Linked DNA regions of Arabidopsis thaliana. The protein of the gene in region 1 interacts with the protein of each later gene in a biochemical or structural test. Each region holds a gene or a part of one and is shown on either strand. Other genes may lie near its edges. The genes, in order: TTL3, AT5G42440, GAPB and NADP-ME2.

Region 1 (5,570 bases):
GCCGTTAACGGAAACTGTGTGCTTAGCTGGCAGACACAGCAGAGAAGTCAATAACCAGCTGGCATGATCACCGTTTTGCAATTATCCCCATAATTACCGCAACACCCTTCTATTTTTTTATCCTTTTTTTTCTTTAATTAGTATTTACTATTTATTATCGTTATGTTCTTAATTATCCTATTATTGTTTTAAATATTTTTATATAGCGAAATAATTTATTTAAGAAAAAGTCAAGAGAAAATTAATTGACTATATATGGAAAATAATTTGAGGGTGCGAGGCATGACCTAGCTAGAGAAAAATAAAATAAAATGAAGGCATGCATGGTGCTTGGTTCAATGTAATTAGTGGTTCCGTAGGTCTGAACGGTACGGACTGGCCATGATCTACTAGAAACAGTAAATAGTTAATACAAAGTAATTAATTATGAGTTTCAGCAAATTAACTACTCTATATCGAATGAATTAAACAGTAATCCCCAGAAAAGAAAAAAAGAGAACTATGACAGCCTTTTCAAAGGACACCCGAAAACCAAAATGAAGATTTTAAAAATGCCAGCTCTGCAATAGATATTGAACTTTCATTTGTAATTTTCTTTATTTTTGTTGCATTACACACATTTGTTATTTACATTTAAATTGGCTATTGCAATAAAAGATTACTTTATATGCTTATAATAGTACAATATATATGGTGGCTTAAACAAAAGTTTGGCTGGCTTGATAAATACATCTTACATCGAATGACGATTTTACCCTCTATCTTGCTGTCTCTGAGTACGAGGGTTGAAATCCTTACGTGGCATTTTTTCTCATTTTTCTTGGTCAAATAGTTTAACCAAACTCCAAAAGTCTGTGATTTGTTGACATACTTCTAACTAATTTTTTTTTATAATAAAAATCTATTGTATCTGTAGAAATAATCATTAGATTTACTTTCTAGAATATAACTTCTTATTTCTTAGTAATTTGTCCAGATTTTTTTTTACAACTAACTAAACACTAGTTAAAATGTTAATGTCTAAAAAATACCATTACAATTATTCAATTTAATAAAAATTGAGTCGGCCAATTTAATGCGAGACTTCTGTACAACGACCCTAAAAGTGGGTTTGATAAATGAAACATATTGCAACAAAAAAATACTAGTAATAATGATAAAATAGTAACATGTCGTGGCGCATTGAATATCCTACGAAGGTTTAGTGTTTACTTTTAAAAAATCCTAATATGATACTAGTACATATAGCTAGCTTGCCTTGCTTATGCTATTGCATAGTCTGTATTAATAAATGATGTTATACATTTCGATAGAGTAACATTTTGGGAACATGAGTGAACGTGCTTGAATCTTCGTGCCCTTGACGTCAGAAGCTAGTAATTTTAAATACTAATTAACATTCATACAAATTAACAGATACAATGTACTATATCATAATTCGTTTCCGTAACACAACGCAACAATTTGAAAGTAGATGTACTTTAGTACTTAGTTAGTGTGCACCAAAAAAAAAAGATGTAGTTAGTTAGTAAGGGGTTAAATGTTTTAATTTATTAAGAAAACTTAAATTCATTAAATGTTAGAAAAAGTCTAATTAGTTTATATTCGAACACTGTGCTCAAAATTAAAAAGTCAACTATTTTAGACTATAGAGTTTATTAATTAATAATAAATTCGATAAATCACCGTATTATTTTCTTCAACGACAAGTAGCCGTGAAGACACGGGAGCGAAGAGAGATAAACAGAAGATGAAGAAGAAGATCAATGTCATAATCTTCAGGGAGATAAATCCGTAATCTTTATTAATCAAGGTTAATCCTTTTTTTTTTCTTCATCTTAATTCTTTGCGTCTTCCTTTTCTATTTATCACGAGATCTGTCTTTCTTTTTCCTCTTCTTTCTCTCTCTTCTCTCTGAAGACAGTACTTGTTTCTGTCCGGCGTTAAAAGCTTCGGTGGTGGTCTCTTGACTTCTCTGAGAAGAAGAAAAGGAAGCTGAGTCTCATTTTAGATTCAGCTCACGAGGAAGTGACGACGATGTCTCATTCTAGAAGACTTTCGTTGGAACCTGCTATAGATTCAATCACTGGTCGATTTCGTGATTTACAGAGAAATGATGATGACGTCAACAAACCTGATTTTCGAGAACTCGATCTAGGTTCTCCTGTTTCTACCTTAATGCCACGTGGCTCTGCTTCTTCTTCCGCTGCTGCGACTCCTACTAGCAGCTCTGGCTCTTCTGGCTCTGCTTCTGGTAAACCGTCGGTGAGTTCTCAGATGGCTAAACGGTTAGATGATGCTTACAAGAGTCATTCCGGTGAGCTTTCTAGCCCCGGATCCGGAATGCCGACCACGACCCGGATTCTTAAACCGGGTCATAGAAGATCTTCTTCTACTGGCACGCCTTTGATCTTCTCTGGCTCTAGCTTTACTTCAGCAACGAGTCACACCTCGCCACAAGGAGGTGGTAGCGGTGCTACGTCGGCAGTGTCTCCCAATACTGGCGTTTTACCGGCGGGAAATATTTGTCCGTCGGGTCGGATCTTGAAAACTGGAATGGCGTCTCGGACTTCAAGTAGGACTGAGACTCTATGCACAGGAACTGGTAATTACGGACATGGAAACGTTGTACGCAGCGGCGGAGGAGGAGGAACCAGCGGAAAGGCGGTGAGAGTGGCGGAGAATGGCGAAAACCCGGAGGAGTTGAAGAGAATGGGGAATGATATGTATAGGAGAGGGAGTTTCTCTGAAGCTCTGTCGCTTTATGACAGAGCAATTTTGATTTCACCGGGAAATGCAGCTTACAGAAGCAACCGTGCCGCGGCTTTAACGGCATTGAGGCGGTTAGGAGAAGCCGTTAAAGAATGTCTTGAAGCTGTTAGGATTGATCCTTCTTACTCCAGAGCTCACCAAAGACTTGCTTCTCTCTATCTCAGGTAATCTTGAGAGGCTTTTTGTTTTGTTGCTGTGTTTTTAGTTTAAAGATTGAGAATTTGAAATGATGGAGTGAATTGTTGCTTTAGATTGGGTGAAGCTGAGAATGCAAGACGTCACATTTGTTTTTCTGGTCAATGTCCGGATCAAGCTGATCTCCAACGGCTACAGACGCTGGAGAAGCATCTCCGACGATGCTGGGAGGCTCGAAAGATTGGAGATTGGAAAACCGCGATTAAGGAAACCGATGCAGCCATTGCAAACGGCGCTGATTCGTCTCCTCAGGTGATTACATATCATTGTCGTATGATATGCTTGTAAAGATTTTTGACTAACAGTGAGGTTTTTTCTATTGGTTTGGACAGCTTGTAGCTTGTAAAGCAGAAGCCTTTTTGCGTCTTAAGCAAATAGAGGATTCGGATTTTTGTGTATCTTGCATTCCAAGATTGGATCATCATTACCATTCTCAACCGCAGGTGAAACTCTTTGGTATGGTAGTTGAAGCTTATGTGCTCTGTATCCAAGCTCAAGTTGATATGGCATTAGGAAGGTGAGCTTTCGAAACTCAGAAATGTTGTGATTCTTTGGATTTTTGTTTCTCCACCGGTGAGTGAGTAGATATGATAGGTTTGTTGCAGATTTGAGAATGCGGTTGTCAAGGCAGAGAGAGCTGCGATGCTTGATCAAACCAATCCTGAGGTTGTATCAGTTTTAAACAATGTGAAGATGGTTGTGCGGGCACGTACTCGTGGTAATGAGCTATTTAGTTCGGGGAGATTCTCGGAAGCGTGTGTAGCTTATGGAGACGGTCTCAAGCAAGATGACTCCAATTCGGTTTTGTACTGCAACAGAGCAGCGTGTTGGTATAAGCTCGGTTTGTGGGAGAAATCTGTTGAAGATTGTAACCATGCGCTCAAAAGCCAGCCTAGTTACATCAAGGCACTTCTACGTAGGGCTGCTTCATATGGAAAGGTGAGATTAGAACTTACTATAATCAGTTATTGACAGAATTTTGCAGTGTATTCGAATGACAATGTGTGTTGAAATATATAGCTTGGTAGGTGGGAGGATGCGGTTAAAGATTATGAGTTCTTGAGAAGAGAACTTCCAGGAGACAGTGAAGTTGCAGAGTCTCTAGAGAGAGCGAAAACAGTGCTAATGAACAGAAGCCAAGAATCTAAAAGCCTAGGTTTCAATAATGAAGTTGAAGCGGTTTCGACTTTGGATAAGTTCAAGAAATCCGTAGCACTTCCCGGTAAGTCTAATGAGAAACTTCAATTTGTCTCAAAAGGTTGAGATTTTGCGTGTCTTGCTCAAGTTGGAAACATTTCTCTTCAGGTGTCTCTGTATTTCATTTCAAATCATCATCAAACCGACAATGCGAAGAAATTTCTCCATTCATCAACACTTTATGTCTTCGGTATCCATTAGTACATTTCTTTATGGTAAGAACAAGAACACATTCCAAATATGCTTTTTATATCACATTTTCTTCTAAACTTATATGTATAACCTATGTTTCTCAATGTGTTAACTGAGAAAATGAAATGTTATTAGGTGGATGTGGAGGAGAGCATGGCGTTGGCGAAAGCAGAGAGTATCAGGAAAGTTCCGACATTTAAGATGTACAAGAATGGAGATAAAGTGAAGGAGATGGTTTGTCCTAGCCATCAGTTTCTAGAGGACTCTATAAAGCATTTCCTCTTATGATTGAAAAAGCCCTATCATCATTATCTGCTTCCCTATGATTCGATCCGAATAGCCTATTTAAAAGACTCAGAAAGCATTCTATGTGAAAGATGGGAAAGAGCTCTTCTGTCAAATTCAACAAACTATTCATTCTTTCTTCTTATTCGATTCTAATTCTTCTTTATTTATTTTTTGGAGTTTGGCTCTGCTTGCTTTGGCATATTACGTATGGGTAAATGTTCGCAATGATTCAAGAAATGCAAGCTTCATTATCTATTTACGCTTGGCTTGTGTATGCTAGATTATTCACCACACCAGTGAAAGAAACTGAACAGAGTTTACTGTATTTGGTGTTGTTGATTCAATCAGTGACAGAATATGAATCAGAGAGTACCGAATCCAATCAGCTTCTATCTCAGCAATTCAGAAATGAAGGAATATAAGTTTCAAGATTGGATCCATAAGGATAGATAGTAAGACGACAGTAGTGAATTACAAATAAGAGTGTCCTGAGACAGGCATGCAATACATTCAAACCAGAGAGACATTTAGGGCTAAACCAGAGTACAAGTAACATAGACAATCATGATATAGGGAACAGAGAAACTCTACTTTTCACTATTATTCACCGCACATTCAGTTCTTGAAACATATTGTCCAGGTGCACACATATCATATCACTGCAACATAAGCAAAGAAATCTTGAATCAAAATCGGCTTATTTTAATTTGATTTACCCCGAGTAAAGGAATCTCTTATACTTACCTCTGCATCGTCTCCACCAGCACCAGGTTTGGCAGAACCATTCGTCTTATGAGCATCGTCTCCTGCACACAAATGCAAAATTAACAGTTGAAGTCCAAGTGAAAATATATATTGATAAAAACTGGCAATCGTCTTCCAGATGCTATTTCAACTATCTATCATCAAGAATGTCCATGGATATG
Region 2 (3,892 bases), on another chromosome or scaffold:
AAAATACTTGGCCTTTTCCTCGCTGGTCTGGAAGTGACCATGTCCCCCCTTCGATGAGGTATCGACGAACTTGAGATTAATCACCTCCATCGCAAGACGAGAAGTCTGCCTTAGCAGTGACTGACGAAGAGTCACAACTCTCTTCTTTGGACCCATGCAGCAACCCTTAATCATCAAGTAGTCATCCTTCACTATACCGTAATGTGCGAATCCTCCCATTGGAGTTATTTCCTTCTCAGTCCTAAGTTTGAAAAAAAGACATACCCTTTCCTCTGTGACGATTAGCTCTCTTCCTTGGTAAGAAACCAAGAGAACCATGTCTTGGATGCTCAAACTTCCTGTGAGACATTCTTCTTCTCCTCCTAATTCGTTTCAATAAACAGTAAATTTGAAATCAAGCTCTAATCAAAATAACTCTGAATCAGTTCTCTATTGATTCGACTAAGATTCTAACTAAGTCTGAATCGTAAAATCTTTGAAAATGGAGGTGGAGGAAGAGAGAAGAAGAAGAACCTGAAACTCCGATGAGCCCTGCGGCGTAAGACTCTGACGAGAAGTGAGGAATAAAAAACCTATTTACGTTCCTTTTATACAAAACCTTAAACACGTTTTTGAACATTTTTAAAATGTGAACCCATTTTCCTTATTGGGCTTCACAAAAGCCCAAATCAATGGAAATTAGGGTAAATAATTGTGCCCTATATAATGTCATCTTCATCTCTCAGCTTCCGTCTTCTATACCATACTCCAAATCTCGTTTTTGTTCAGTTCTTAATTTCAGTCTGCACTTTTTTTTCTTAGGTTTGAAGAGATTGATGAAATCAAATACATCGATCGCTAGTGTCTTGAAGACGCGATGAGCGTCGATTTTCCACACGAGATTTCTGACTCTTGATCTGTTTTTTTCTTTTTCGTCATAAAAAAAAATTGATTTGATTTCTTTGGTGGACATTAGATAGTATCATCCCTTTTATAATAAACAGTGACAAAAAAAGTTGGGGAAAAAAAAAAAATATAGTATCATCCCCAGCATGTTATTTTTAAAAATAAATTTAGTACATAACAAAATGTTTACGGATGTTAAAAATAGTATTTGGATCAAATATTAATCATAATCATGACAAGAAACACTTGAACCCCACAAATTATAAGCATAAACAAAACAACTCAAGATCTTTAAACGAAAACAAACAAAACGAAAATCTGTGACAGTGTATTCTTCTACTTTTTCTTAAACCAATTCAATCGAGTGTTTTAAGACCATTTTGTCTGTCCTATGACGTATGTTCTGTTCTGTTTCGCTTAGTTTTACGGTTTCTTATGGTTTTGAGCTCATATGATTTTGTTCTGAACCCTTGAATTCTCTAATAATGAAAGCAAATTATGTAGATATGAGTTTGTTCTGTCTAATTATCTTAGTAATGATGTTGTCTTAAAGAGTTCGTGTTTGATGCTTTCCTTAGGTGTGTTTGGTCTAGGTAACAAGTAATGAAATGAGTTTGTGTTTGATGCTTTTATTAGATGAGTTTGGTCTAATTATTTTAATGCTTTTACTAGAATCCAAAATATTTATAATTTATCATTTTAAAAGTATGATTTATTTCTCTTAAAGAAATCCATGCATGACTCTACCATTAAATAATAAAAAATATAAGAATTCAACACAAACTCTAAACTTTGAATTGTTCAAATTTATAATTAAAGAAAAAAAATAGAGTCACTTTATCATTGAAAATTGTCTTAGGGGTATAAATTAGTTTAAGCAACTAAACCTTGTAGTTTAATTGTTCCAAAACTATAAGCTAACTAATTTTGATATCAAGTAAAGAAATTCCCACTTCATAGCAGAAATTTTCAAGCATTTTACACATACTTCGTAACCACCAATATCGTCAAGACACGTGTACAACCTGCGTAGACTTTCTCCAGCAACAATCGTTGACTTGTCTTATCTACGACTACGACTCAATCAAAACCTTACACTTCCTCCTCCGTCACTATCAATGGCGGATCATCTCTTACTCTCTCTTTCTCAATCTCTCTCTCTCAATCTCATACTGATCCCAAACACTATCCATGGATTACCAAATCTCACTAATCCTAGCCACCAGCATAAGCTCCATCTTCCTCTTGCTTATCGTCTTCACCGTCGTTATGATCGTATGTCGCCGTCGTCCTCCAATCCAAAACCATCCTCGCCGGAATCGTAACTTCCCCGACCCCGATCCCGATCTAAACACGGAAACAGTAACCGAAAGCTTCGATCCATCAATCTGTGAAATATCCATGGCGGAACTCACTATAGCAACTAAAAACTTCTCATCGGATCTTATCGTCGGCGACGGAAGTTTCGGTCTCGTTTATCGAGCTCAGCTCTCAAACGGCGTCGTAGTCGCCGTTAAAAAGCTCGATCACGACGCTTTACAAGGATTCCGAGAATTCGCAGCCGAAATGGACACTCTAGGTCGTCTCAATCACCCAAACATAGTTAGGATCCTCGGTTATTGCATCTCGGGATCAGATCGGATTCTTATCTACGAGTTCTTAGAGAAAAGTAGTCTTGACTATTGGTTACACGAGACTGACGAAGAGAACAGTCCATTGACTTGGTCAACGCGCGTGAATATCACGCGCGATGTGGCCAAGGGTTTAGCTTATCTGCATGGTTTACCGAAACCAATTATACATAGAGATATCAAATCGAGTAATGTGCTGTTGGATTCGGATTTCGTGGCGCATATTGCGGATTTCGGATTGGCGCGAAGGATCGATGCGTCGAGGTCGCATGTGTCGACGCAAGTGGCGGGGACGATGGGGTACATGCCACCGGAGTATTGGGAAGGGAATACCGCGGCGACGGTTAAAGCTGATGTTTATAGTTTTGGTGTATTGATGTTGGAATTGGCGACGCGGAGACGGCCGAATTTAACGGTTGTTGTGGATGAGAAGGAAGTTGGGTTGGCTCAATGGGCTGTGATCATGGTGGAGCAAAATCGGTGTTATGAAATGTTGGATTTTGGAGGTGTTTGTGGTAGTGAGAAGGGAGTGGAAGAGTATTTTAGGATTGCTTGTCTTTGTATTAAAGAGTCGACTAGAGAAAGGCCTACTATGGTTCAAGTGGTGGAGTTATTGGAGGAGTTATGTCGATTTATGTAGTCATATTAATCCAATAGGTAAATGTAATTAGTCTTTTTTATCACACAAGTGAAGTTCGTTACATATTGTAATAATTGGGTAAAATATTCGGACCAAAAGAAGTTACAAAATAAGTTTCTATGTTCTGCTTATTTACGTTTTAGTTTTAGAGATTTATGTATTAGGAACTAGAGTGTTTTGTTTTTTGACTTTACGTCTATGTGCTAAACATCGGCTGAGATAATTAACTTTTAGGATCTTCTGTCAATCTTTAAAATTCTATTGATTTTTGAATGATTGCAAAGAAAACAAAACTTGAAGTGATTCTATCAATTTTAGGTTTCATTTAAAATCATTAGAATTGAGGATTTAGAAAAGGTAAAAAGGCATTTGGAACTGTTTAGTGTTTACCATGACAGATGAAGGAGCACACACACGTACTGTTGCAGTAAAGTGAATAAAAGAAGTTATTCTAAACATGAGAGATTCGTGAGCTTTATTTTATCGTGCCATACAAATATACAATCATACTTTAACCATTGTTCTCTGCTATGAGATAAGAGATGCTTCTTTCTTTCTTTCTGCAAGCATTTTATTTAATTTGGACTCCAAAAATAAAATTAAACACCTTGATTAGACTGTTTAAGAAGAATTCAGATTAATTATCAAGACTTGTTTTCAGAAAAGTATAAAATGAATGTTTTCAGGAAAAAAATATAAATGATTTTATTTTTTTTGGTAAAATATATAAATGAAT
Region 3 (4,737 bases), on another chromosome or scaffold:
GATTAGATGACCAAATTGATCCATTTTCATTTCTCCCAATATTTATTACATTTTTTTTTTTTTGATGTAATATTTGTAATAAATATTTAAATAAATAATTACCACTGAATCGAAGAAGCTTTGCTTAGATATCATCGAACTTGCTCCAACTGCTCTATCTCAGGATCTCTCTCAGACACAGTTTCTTCCATCCATGGCGTCTCTTTCTTCTACCTCTCTCTCTCTCCCCAAGAATTCTCACCAACTCCATCCTTCATCTGGTAATAACTTCTTCAATCTCTCCAATCTTCGTGCTTTATAGATTTTCAATATCCTCCATTTTCGAGCTCATGAGATTCGTACAGTCATGTTACGATTTCTAATTTAGCATCTCACAAAACCCAATTTAATTGTGTATTGGACGATCTTGATTCCTTTATGTTGTTGGGTCCTTTCTTTTTACTTGTGCTGATTTGTCAAAACAATGCAAAATTAGAGCTTGAAGCTGTTTTGTTAGAAAACTGTTCAACTTGTTATGTATAAGTCACTGATTGTTGTTTGTTCTTGTTACCTTCTAGGTTTTTCTCTGAATCCAAATGCTCGTTGTGTCAGTGTTTCATTTGGACTGAATCACTCCAACAAACTTCATATTTCTGCTCCTAGAACCAAAAGGATCCTAACCATTCAATCTGCATACAGGTATATAACTTTATCTTATACAAATTATTGTTTGAGATGTCGAAAACTGTGGTTCTTGTTACTCCTTAATGTTTTGTGAGCATCGTAACATTTTTTAGTATACTTTAGTTTTCTATTGGCAACTTATGTTTACAGAGACAGTTTGCAATGTCTAATAGCATCAAAACTTGCAGAGATGATGATGGTTCAGGCAGCACAGGCCTATTCGTCGGAGGGTTTATTTTGGGCGGACTTATAGTCGGTGCCCTCGGATGTGTATATGCACCACAGGTAGTAATCTGTTACATGGTTTAGTTTGATCACTCTTAGAGCTTGTATTCGTTTCAATCAAGAAGTTCTTGAGTGGACTCGAGGAGCTCTGTAACCTTCTCTGTTTCACTTTGACTCATCAATGTGTGATGTTACTTTTGTGAATTGTATCAGATCAGCAAGGCTATAGCTGGAGCAGACCGAAAGGATCTCATGAGGAAGTTGCCTAAATTCATATATGACGAGGAAAAAGCTTTGGAGGTAAGTTATTGCTAAGCCTCTTGATTCATATTTTATCTCACTTTTTGTTGAATTTACTTATGAACAATGTTGTCTACTGTTAATGCAGAAAACACGTAAGGTACTAGCTGAGAAAATTGCTCAGCTTAACTCTGCTATCGACGATGTCTCCTCTCAGCTCAAATCAGAAGATACTCCGAATGGTGCAGCTCTAAGCACCGATGAAATCGAGGCTACAGCCTGAAATCATCTGTTTTTAGGATTTGAAATTGAATCATGGGAGATTACTTACTATGATCCCAATAATTGTTTTCCTTTCTGTGTAATGTTGTACAACTTTTCGTCTACTATCTTCAAATGACTGCTTTCTTCCTTCTTCTTTTTTTCTCGAAATCGCGGTGTTGAAGGATATATCACAGTTATATGCGAAACCAGACGTTATGAAGACTATATAATATCCTGATGAAAACTATATGACATGAAAAGAAGGATTAAAAAAATGAGTCTCTTGAGAAACTTGTGATCACTGGCTCACAGAATCTTATCCCCATATGTATCTTACCTACATAATAGCCACATATTACTTTGCTTCACTTTGAACCATTGGTTGGTTTTGATCAAAACCAAAGGATGTGTGTATGTATGTATATATTCTAACGCTCAAAACTGATCACTAGCATTCCTAGATTTTTCCTTCTTGTGATCACTTGCAGCTATGGCCACACATGCAGCTCTCGCCGTCTCAAGAATCCCGGTCACACAGCGACTGCAGTCTAAGAGTGCCATTCACTCTTTCCCTGCTCAATGCTCCTCCAAGGTATGAACTCCATCTGACTACTACATACCCTCTGTTTATGTGTGTGGTACAGTTTGTTTTATTGGTTTCTCTTGTTACTTACTTGCACAGAGGCTAGAAGTCGCTGAATTCTCCGGTCTGCGTATGAGTAGTATCGGTGGGGAAGCATCTTTCTTCGATGCTGTAGCTGCACAAATCATCCCTAAGGTAACTTATTTATTGATTGAATCAGTAACTGTATTGTTATCATGATTTGTGAATATGTGATGAGTTTGTGAAATATTAGGCTGTGACAACATCAACTCCTGTTAGAGGAGAGACAGTGGCGAAACTGAAAGTTGCGATTAACGGTTTTGGAAGGATTGGTAGGAACTTTCTTAGGTGTTGGCATGGTCGTAAAGACTCTCCTCTCGAAGTTGTTGTACTTAACGACAGTGGTGGTGTCAAGAATGTAAGTATGTAATAAACTTTGTGAACTCTTCTTGTGGAACACATTTTTGACATTTGATGAAATTTGCAGGCATCCCACTTGCTTAAGTATGACTCCATGCTTGGAACCTTCAAGGCTGAAGTGAAAATTGTGGACAATGAAACTATTAGTGTTGATGGTAAGCTCATCAAAGTTGTCTCCAACAGAGACCCTCTTAAGCTTCCATGGGCTGAGCTCGGCATTGACATTGTTATCGAGGTGAAATTTCTACCGAAAACTGCTTATTATGATGGCAAATCGCGCTACGGAACTTAGTTAATCGAAAACTGTATATGGTTATGATCATCAGGGAACAGGAGTGTTTGTTGATGGGCCAGGAGCAGGGAAGCATATCCAAGCCGGAGCCTCGAAAGTTATCATCACTGCACCAGCCAAAGGTGCTGATATCCCTACCTATGTTATGGGAGTCAATGAGCAAGACTATGGTCACGATGTCGCTAACATTATTAGGTCCGTTTAAAGTTAAACCTTTGATCTCATTAAAGCATGAACGAGTTTGAGTATTCATGCTTCAGTTTTGGTCTTTCTTTGCAGCAATGCATCTTGCACCACCAACTGTTTGGCACCTTTTGCTAAAGTCTTGGATGAAGAATTTGGTACATTTTATTTTCTCTGCTTCACTACATGTTTCAAAATGTTTTTTTTATAGCTCATACATGAACTGAATCACAGGAATTGTCAAGGGGACAATGACAACCACACACTCCTACACCGGAGACCAAGTAAGATTCCATCTTTTTGTCTATCTATCCATGTAGAAACCTAACGGAAGAGCTTGCTTGTATTGTCAAAAAAATAAATATGTTTGAAATGAATTGTTTCAGAGGCTTCTAGATGCATCACACAGGGACCTAAGGCGTGCAAGAGCCGCAGCACTGAACATAGTGCCTACCAGCACAGGAGCAGCCAAGGCGGTGTCATTAGTGTTGCCGCAGCTGAAGGGTAAACTTAACGGCATTGCACTCCGTGTGCCAACACCAAACGTCTCAGTGGTTGACCTTGTTATAAACGTTGAGAAGAAAGGTTTGACAGCAGAGGATGTGAACGAGGCCTTTAGAAAAGCCGCTAATGGACCGATGAAAGGCATTTTAGACGTTTGCGATGCGCCTCTTGTCTCTGTTGACTTCAGGTGCTCTGATGTCTCTACCACCATTGACTCGTCCCTCACTATGGTTATGGGTGATGATATGGTCAAGGTGGTTGCTTGGTATGATAACGAGTGGGGTTACAGGTGAGAGAGATATAACACATTACATGATATCATTTTATGTTTTAACCTATGATTGTTTGTTTATGTTTTGTGTTTGCGTTTGCGTGTTCGTGTTTTAGCCAAAGAGTGGTGGATTTGGCTCACCTAGTGGCTAGCAAGTGGCCGGGAGCGGAAGCTGTTGGAAGTGGAGATCCTTTGGAGGATTTCTGCAAGACAAACCCGGCTGATGAGGAATGCAAAGTCTATGACTGAACAACTTTGATCATTTCTTTCTTTATTTTTCACCAAAACAATACTTTGTATCATGAGTTACTTATTCGAAATCGTACTATGCATACTTGTTTTTCTCATAAGATTTTCTTGTCTGATGAACAACTATATGTTAAGACTGAGAGAATTGTATTTGAGAAATAACCATTTTATGCTACATGTTAAAACGGAATTTATTTGAGCAATGTATGACAAAAGAAATTGTTTGATTTGGTTTACAAATAAAGATGCATGAGTGTGCAACAAAATAATGAAACATTCAATCTAGAGAAAAGAGATTTGATATTTTCAACTTGATTTCTTTATTGTATGATGGTTGGAATTGATCTTTTTGAATTTCATAATACATATGTAATTTTTTTATATTAAAAATGAAAAATAAAGAAAGAATAAATTAAAATCAATGTAAGGTATTATACCATATAGTTTTTAAATATTAAAAATTTAGAACCAAACTCTTATGACGATTTCTCAATTGAATTTTTAACTTATGCAATAACAACAACAACAAAAAACAACAAAAAAAATGGTAGCAGGCTGATTTTTGAATTGAGTCTACAAAACTTTTAATGATGTAGGTGAAAAATGAGAAAATTGTACAAAATTTGTTAATTCAATCATTTTCATTGCAGCTCTTCAACCAACTCAGCCTTTTTTTCTCAAGCTTGTTTCTTTATTAGACTCGAGTTCCATCTTTTGTTCAGCTAGAAATAGCTTCTCTGGTTATTGAACCTATCAGAGCAAGGAATAGTCGTACACATTCTGGAAGTGAATCAATCAATCATTATAGTGGTGATTTTTTAA
Region 4 (6,317 bases), on another chromosome or scaffold:
CTGACATGTCATGCATCGGTATGTGAGGATTTCTCATGAGGGACTCTTTCATTGGTTGGTGATAGGCTGATAGCTAGGGTCGATTCTAGATGATGGATTTATTATTAGTAATATAGGTTTTATTTAATTGTGTCTTCTTTACCAAACTCGAAATTTAAAAAAATCTCAGATAAGAGCTAAGCTGAACTGGATCTCAGCTAAACACAAAAATCTTCAAGAACCTTTTGTCTAAGTACAGTTCTAGATATGTAGATTTATGATTTACAATTTCTAGATTCATAAATTAAGCTTCTACAAAACGGGCGCTTGTACATTTTCTAACTATTTTTCTTATAACTTGCTTATGTTTTCCATATATTTTGCATAGTTTTTTTCAACTTGTTTTCTTTTAATCTTATTTCAAAAAATTAAACATATCATTAGATATAAGCTTTTTCCACTTAGAATGTCGCATAACTACTTACTTTTTAGAAATATTTCTACTAAACCCAAATAGGGTAAAAGGGGATAACGCTGATACCACTTTAAATTTCTAATCTAAAGGTGACGTTTTATTATGACAGAGAAAATACGAAATAGACGATATTATGTTATATAGCAAGCCTTTTGACTTTATAGAAGTGAGAAGCGAGGATTAAGGGGTCAAAAAAATGAAACATATATAGAAAGTAAACTTTGAAAAATATAGGAGTTGGTGAAGAAAATGAACATGTTGGAGTCGAGGATTCCCTAATATGTTCTAGAAAATATGAGCTTTTAGCAACTATAAACGCGTCTTGGTCCATCTTAGCTTACTTTTTGTATGAACGCAAGACAAATATTGGAATGACTGCAAAATAAAAAAAAAGCGAAAACCAAATATTGGTCAATCGAAAAGTAAGTGGAGACAATAAAAGGCGAGCAAGAAAACCTCAATGCTTTCTTATTTTAAAACTATTGAAATTCACTGCAAAACAAAAACAAAAAAAATGCTTATTTCAAATCGGACATATGTGCTTACGACTAATGAATAATTAATTCAATCCATGCACTAGCAGCAATCCTTATCCATGATCGTTAAATTAAATTATTACTAATAGACTTTAAGCATTCCTTACACTAATAATGACAGTTTGGTACCTATTTGAGGTGGGTTTTTACTATTACATACACTAAAAATGACAGTTCGGTACCTATTTGAGGTGGGTTTATTCTCTGTAATAGTTTATTTGAAAATTTCACTCTTCTTAAATTAGTATTAAAAAAAATCTTGTTGACTTATATAAATTCAAGTTGGGGGGTCCAATATGGCTGCCAAGTTTGATCCTCCGACAACATTCCCGCAGCCTCAAATACAATTATTTGTTTTTTTTTTCCCTTTGATTTGTGACATTGTACAATTATTATGATTTGTTTCTATTATCATCGTATATTCGTACATTTAAAAAAATAAAAAAAAGGGGAAAAGAATCATTTACATAAATAACAATTCATAATGTAATATCGCACCGAGTTTTATAGAAGTCTACACATATCTAATCTCAAAATGAAAGTGGCTTACATGTTTCTTAAACTTTTATTAAATTTGTTATATGTTTGGTGGGAAAAAATAACCAATAATGAAAAAGTGAAAGTTGTCTACACGAGGTAATGGATGAAGAGAGGGACCTACGACGAAGGATGACTCCGTCCACGTTCTTCTTCACTGTTTGACAATAAGCTCCAATTTTCAGACTTTTCATTTCAAACTTGTGGGTCTCATTTTCCTCTGGCCTATATAAATCCACTATCCTCCACTTCTGTCTTTCATCATCATTCCACATAAACAAAATATCTTCTTGCTCATTATTCATCATCAATCTACTACTCCGTAAACTTTGCTTCCTCTGTTTGTATTAGCTCAGAAGAGATATGGGAAGTACTCCGACTGATTTACCCGGTGAGGATGTCGCCGATAACAGATCCGGCGTCGGCGGTGGTATTTCTGACGTCTACGGTGAGGATTCCGCCACCTTGGACCAGCTTGTCACCCCTTGGGTTACCTCTGTCGCTAGGTGAGTCAACCCACCTTTAGATCTCAATCATACCCTTTTGTTTTACTTTTTGTGATCCATCACAATTGCTTCAGCTAAGTAAAGTTTGCTTTTTTAAGTTTCTAAACTTACCAACTTCTGTGAAATATGAACTTAGTGTTTCTTCTTGTTAAAGTTCCGATTTTTCTGTGGGGCTTATAGTGGATTGAAATGTTTTTGTTTTGTTCAGTGGCTACACATTGATGCGTGATCCGAGATACAACAAGGGACTTGCGTTTACTGATAAAGAAAGAGATGCTCATTACTTAACTGGTCTTCTTCCCCCTGTGATTTTGAGTCAGGATGTTCAGGTAACTTGAGGTTTTATATAAAAGAACTCACTTTTGTTTAGTTTTTGAGTTGGGTTTTGTCTGTGTTAACTTCTGTTTTGTGGGTGATTTTATTAGGAGAGGAAGGTGATGCACAATCTCCGTCAGTACACTGTTCCTCTGCAGCGTTACATGGCCCTGATGGATCTTCAGGTCAGTGATTGTTCTTCGAATTCATGTTTAGTAGAGTAGAGAATGTGTCCAAAGCTTTGTTTGGTTAGTTTTTCTTTTCTTACAACTGGTGGCTTATGTATCTGAATCTTGCAGGAAAGGAACGAGAGGTTGTTCTACAAGCTTTTGATTGATAACGTTGAGGAGTTGCTTCCAGTTGTGTACACACCAACAGTTGGTGAGGCTTGCCAGAAGTATGGGAGCATTTTCAGGAAGCCACAGGGTCTCTACATCAGTTTGAACGAGAAGTGTGTTTTAAAATCTCTTTAACCAGGTCGGTTCCATTTTGTTTCTTTAAACTAATGTGAATGGATGTTCTTTAGGGGCAAGATTCTTGAAGTTTTGAAGAACTGGCCCCAGAGAGGAATCCAAGTTATTGTTGTTACTGATGGTGAGCGGATTCTCGGTCTGGGAGATCTTGGTTGCCAGGTAATAAATAAGTTCTTGAGTTACACTTGAAACTTAAACATTTTGTGTTGAAAGTTCACATCTATCATCTGTTTGAACGATTTCAATATTTTCCAGGGAATGGGAATTCCAGTGGGGAAACTTTCTCTTTACACCGCTTTGGGAGGAATCCGTCCATCAGCTGTAAGCACTAGAACAAAAGCTGCTCTAGAAATTGGTTCTACTTGATTGATAACTCAATAACTGTTTTGATCCTAAATGAAAATCGGCTTTCAAATGCAGTGTCTTCCAATCACCATTGATGTGGGTACAAACAATGAGAAGTTGCTAAATGATGAATTCTACATCGGTCTTAAACAGCGAAGAGCAACTGGCCAGGTTTACTAATCAATTCCTATCAGTGTTTTCTCTTCTTATAGCAAATACTATGATTTTTCAAAAACTGAGAAGTCTATTTGCTTTTGTGATTCAGGAATATGCTGAATTCCTGCACGAATTCATGTGCGCTGTAAAGCAGAACTATGGAGAGAAAGTGTTGGTTCAGGTGAGCCATAGGATACTCTCTTAAGAACTATGATTGTTGTCAGAACTACGATAAAAGATGTCCGGAATTAATATCATACACTCATCTTTTCAGTTTGAAGATTTTGCAAACCACAATGCGTTTGACCTTTTGTCTAAGTACAGTGATAGCCATCTTGTCTTCAATGACGATATCCAGGTAGCATCTTCTCCTCAAGATTGATCTTTTTTTTCTTAAATTTTTGGTTGTGATGTCAGAGTGCTTACCAAGAACTTGATTTTGTTTTCTGTAATTGCAGGGTACTGCATCCGTGGTGCTTGCTGGGCTTATTGCCGCTCAGAAGGTGCTTGGTAAAAAACTGGCTGACCATACCTTCCTGTTCTTGGGTGCCGGAGAGGTGAGACCAGAAAGCATTATACTCTATAAGCTTATAATTCTTACATTTATTTTTTGCTGCTTACACTTTATCTCGCTGATTCTTTGAAGGCTGGAACCGGTATCGCTGAGCTAATTGCTCTTAAGATTTCGAAAGAGGTTAGTCAATCTGGGAGTTTTCTTGCATTTGATCTGTTTTTTGGCTAAGAGTATGTGATTGATCATATCTGTTTTTTTTTTTGTAGACTGGAGCTCCCATCACTGAGACCCGGAAGAAGATTTGGCTTGTGGACTCCAAGGTATTGTTAGGCGCCAACCACCAAGATCAGTCTCATCTTTTTTAGCTATACCGTTCTTGTTCATATATGTTTCTCTTTTGAACATTATTTTGCAGGGACTGATTGTTAGCTCACGCAAAGAATCTCTTCAGCACTTCAAGCAGCCATGGGCACATGAGCACAAACCTGTGAAGGACCTCATTGGTGCTGTTAATGTACGTGATGAACTGATCTTTAAATTGCTTGATAGTGAATAGAGAATCTTTTTGTTCACTGTTTGTTGAAACTTTTTCAAACAGGCAATCAAGCCAACCGTTCTCATTGGAACATCCGGTGTGGGTCAGACTTTCACAAAAGAAGTTGTCGAGGCCATGGCTACCAACAACGAGGTTTCTTCTTGTTCTTACTCTCTGCTTTTTCAGAAAACAAGGTATTTATGCTATTTTTCTAATGCTGGTCTTGGTGTTGGCTTATAGAAACCGTTGATTCTTGCTCTCTCAAACCCTACTTCTCAAGCTGAGTGTACTGCTGAACAGGCTTACACATGGACCAAGGTATAATATTGTCTCATATGACATCTAAATGTGATTCATGTCCTCACTCCTGATTATACAACAAAATTATAATTTGGTTTTCATGCTGCTCCTCGAATCTAATCATATATTGTGCTTAAAAAAAGGGTCGTGCAATCTTTGGAAGTGGAAGCCCATTTGATCCTGTTGTGTACGATGGCAAAACCTACTTGCCTGGCCAGGTTCGTGCTATTTCAACAACTTCTTCTCTCTCAACTTTGTACATCTGACAATCTTAGAGCTCACATCATATTTCCACTATCCTACTTAACTTCAGGCAAACAATTGCTACATTTTCCCTGGTCTGGGTCTTGGTTTGATCATGTCTGGGGCAATTCGTGTCCGTGATGACATGCTCCTCGCAGCTTGTAAGTAAAAATAAACTTCAGAAAATCAAACATGGATACTGATAAAGACACTTAAAGATTCTCAATGTCATCTCTCTCTCATGTTTTCAACAGCTGAAGCATTGGCCGCACAAGTGACAGAAGAGCATTACGCCAATGGTCTGATCTACCCGCCATTCTCAAACATCAGAGAGATCTCTGCTAACATTGCAGCCTGTGTCGCCGCCAAAACCTATGACCTCGGTTAGTTGAATGAAACTGTCTTAACTCTTTTAATGAGACTGTCTGAACTCTCTAATCTCAAGTTCTAAAATCGATGTATTGTGGTGTAGGATTGGCGTCGAACCTGCCACGTGCAAAGGATCTTGTCAAGTTTGCAGAGAGCAGCATGTACAGCCCTGTGTACAGAAACTACCGTTAAAAAAGTTTTGTTGAAGAAACCTGCAGATTATACTATTCACAACCCTTGATAGTTTCTTAAGGCTTGTATTTAAGTTTTTTGTTTGTTTGTTTGTTGTTTGTTTTCTCTTCTACATTATGATGCTGTTTGTGAACTCTCTCTCTGTCTTTGCTGATAAATAATAAATTGTTACTAATATAATCTACAAATCATTATTGTCTCAAAGTTACACTTTCCATCCCACATCACAAAATCGATCAACTTGTCTTGGAAGGGAATAATATGCTTTTTTCTGCCACTTGTTGTATCTTATTGGTTGTTTTATTAAAATGGTATAATTGTTGCAGAATTAAAGAACTTGTATCATTATTTTGAAGAGTTTATCAAAAGTTTCATATAGATAATAGGACTATAGAAGCATAGCTGAATACTCTTTTGAAAGTGGTTTCTAAATTGTACTGAGCAAAATGTTCTAAAAACAACAAAACTCCTAATCTTAAGCTAATGATTTTGGCATTTTAGGTAACTACTTGTTATAAATAGCTAAAACAATAACAAGAATCTCTAAAACTCGTCTTCACGTTTTGGTTAAAATCGAAAGCTCAAACAATCCAAACCAAAACTAAACCGAAACAAGATGTCAAAAAAATAAATAAACACCTAAACCGAAACCAAAGTTAAAACAACTGAAAATGGGCTGAACGGTCCCTTTAATCTGAGATGTAATAAGGCCCAAATAGTAACTGTAGATGGGGACAATTGTAACGAAATCAAATTGCGGGCGAAAATCGAACTAAAGAAATAAGTAGAGGGACGAATAAAATGGTTAGAAGGTTTTAAGAATAAACCGCGTCGCGTCTCTT

The links.
Region 2: the proteins of TTL3 (region 1) and AT5G42440 form a complex in vitro, tested with the Arabidopsis thaliana proteins (one study listed by BioGRID).
Region 3: the proteins of TTL3 (region 1) and GAPB form a complex in vitro, tested with the Arabidopsis thaliana proteins (one study listed by BioGRID).
Region 4: the proteins of TTL3 (region 1) and NADP-ME2 form a complex in vitro, tested with the Arabidopsis thaliana proteins (one study listed by BioGRID).

What each region holds. Positions count from the first base shown.
Region 1 is NC_003071.7:17,726,818-17,732,387, forward strand, and holds TTL3 (tetratricopetide-repeat thioredoxin-like 3), read left to right. Parts: upstream 1-1,661; 5' UTR 1,662-2,037; coding exon 2,038-2,936; intron 2,937-3,023; coding exon 3,024-3,219; intron 3,220-3,299; coding exon 3,300-3,484; intron 3,485-3,572; coding exon 3,573-3,906; intron 3,907-3,987; coding exon 3,988-4,189; intron 4,190-4,272; coding exon 4,273-4,379; intron 4,380-4,491; coding exon 4,492-4,644; 3' UTR 4,645-5,019; downstream 5,020-5,570. Other genes in the region: GRF9 (general regulatory factor 9), read right to left, coding at 5,347-5,450. UniProt on the Arabidopsis thaliana protein: Involved in osmotic and salt stress tolerance. May play a role in the control of meristematic cell size during osmotic stress. May function as an adapter protein for BRL2 and may be required for signaling affecting leaf vascular tissue pattern formation.
Region 2 is NC_003076.8:16,972,698-16,976,589, reverse strand, and holds AT5G42440 (Protein kinase superfamily protein), read left to right. Parts: upstream 1-1,712; 5' UTR 1,713-2,076; coding exon 2,077-3,156; 3' UTR 3,157-3,388; downstream 3,389-3,892.
Region 3 is NC_003070.9:16,125,670-16,130,406, forward strand, and holds GAPB (glyceraldehyde-3-phosphate dehydrogenase B subunit), read left to right. Parts: upstream 1-1,683; 5' UTR 1,684-1,882; coding exon 1,883-1,984; intron 1,985-2,074; coding exon 2,075-2,170; intron 2,171-2,249; coding exon 2,250-2,414; intron 2,415-2,483; coding exon 2,484-2,651; intron 2,652-2,742; coding exon 2,743-2,903; intron 2,904-2,987; coding exon 2,988-3,049; intron 3,050-3,125; coding exon 3,126-3,175; intron 3,176-3,277; coding exon 3,278-3,684; intron 3,685-3,782; coding exon 3,783-3,915; 3' UTR 3,916-4,226; downstream 4,227-4,737. Other genes in the region: AT1G42960 (inner membrane localized protein), read left to right, coding at 194-260, 558-678, 852-948, 1,102-1,188, 1,277-1,411. UniProt on the Arabidopsis thaliana protein: Involved in the photosynthetic reductive pentose phosphate pathway (Calvin-Benson cycle). Catalyzes the reduction of 1,3-diphosphoglycerate by NADPH.
Region 4 is NC_003076.8:3,752,566-3,758,882, forward strand, and holds NADP-ME2 (NADP-malic enzyme 2), read left to right. Parts: upstream 1-1,525; 5' UTR 1,526-1,890; coding exon 1,891-2,033; intron 2,034-2,241; coding exon 2,242-2,362; intron 2,363-2,458; coding exon 2,459-2,533; intron 2,534-2,647; coding exon 2,648-2,799; intron 2,800-2,874; coding exon 2,875-2,980; intron 2,981-3,076; coding exon 3,077-3,142; intron 3,143-3,241; coding exon 3,242-3,337; intron 3,338-3,431; coding exon 3,432-3,503; intron 3,504-3,596; coding exon 3,597-3,680; intron 3,681-3,780; coding exon 3,781-3,879; intron 3,880-3,968; coding exon 3,969-4,016; intron 4,017-4,102; coding exon 4,103-4,156; intron 4,157-4,251; coding exon 4,252-4,350; intron 4,351-4,434; coding exon 4,435-4,524; intron 4,525-4,611; coding exon 4,612-4,689; intron 4,690-4,814; coding exon 4,815-4,889; intron 4,890-4,984; coding exon 4,985-5,075; intron 5,076-5,168; coding exon 5,169-5,297; intron 5,298-5,386; coding exon 5,387-5,475; 3' UTR 5,476-5,777; and 1 more.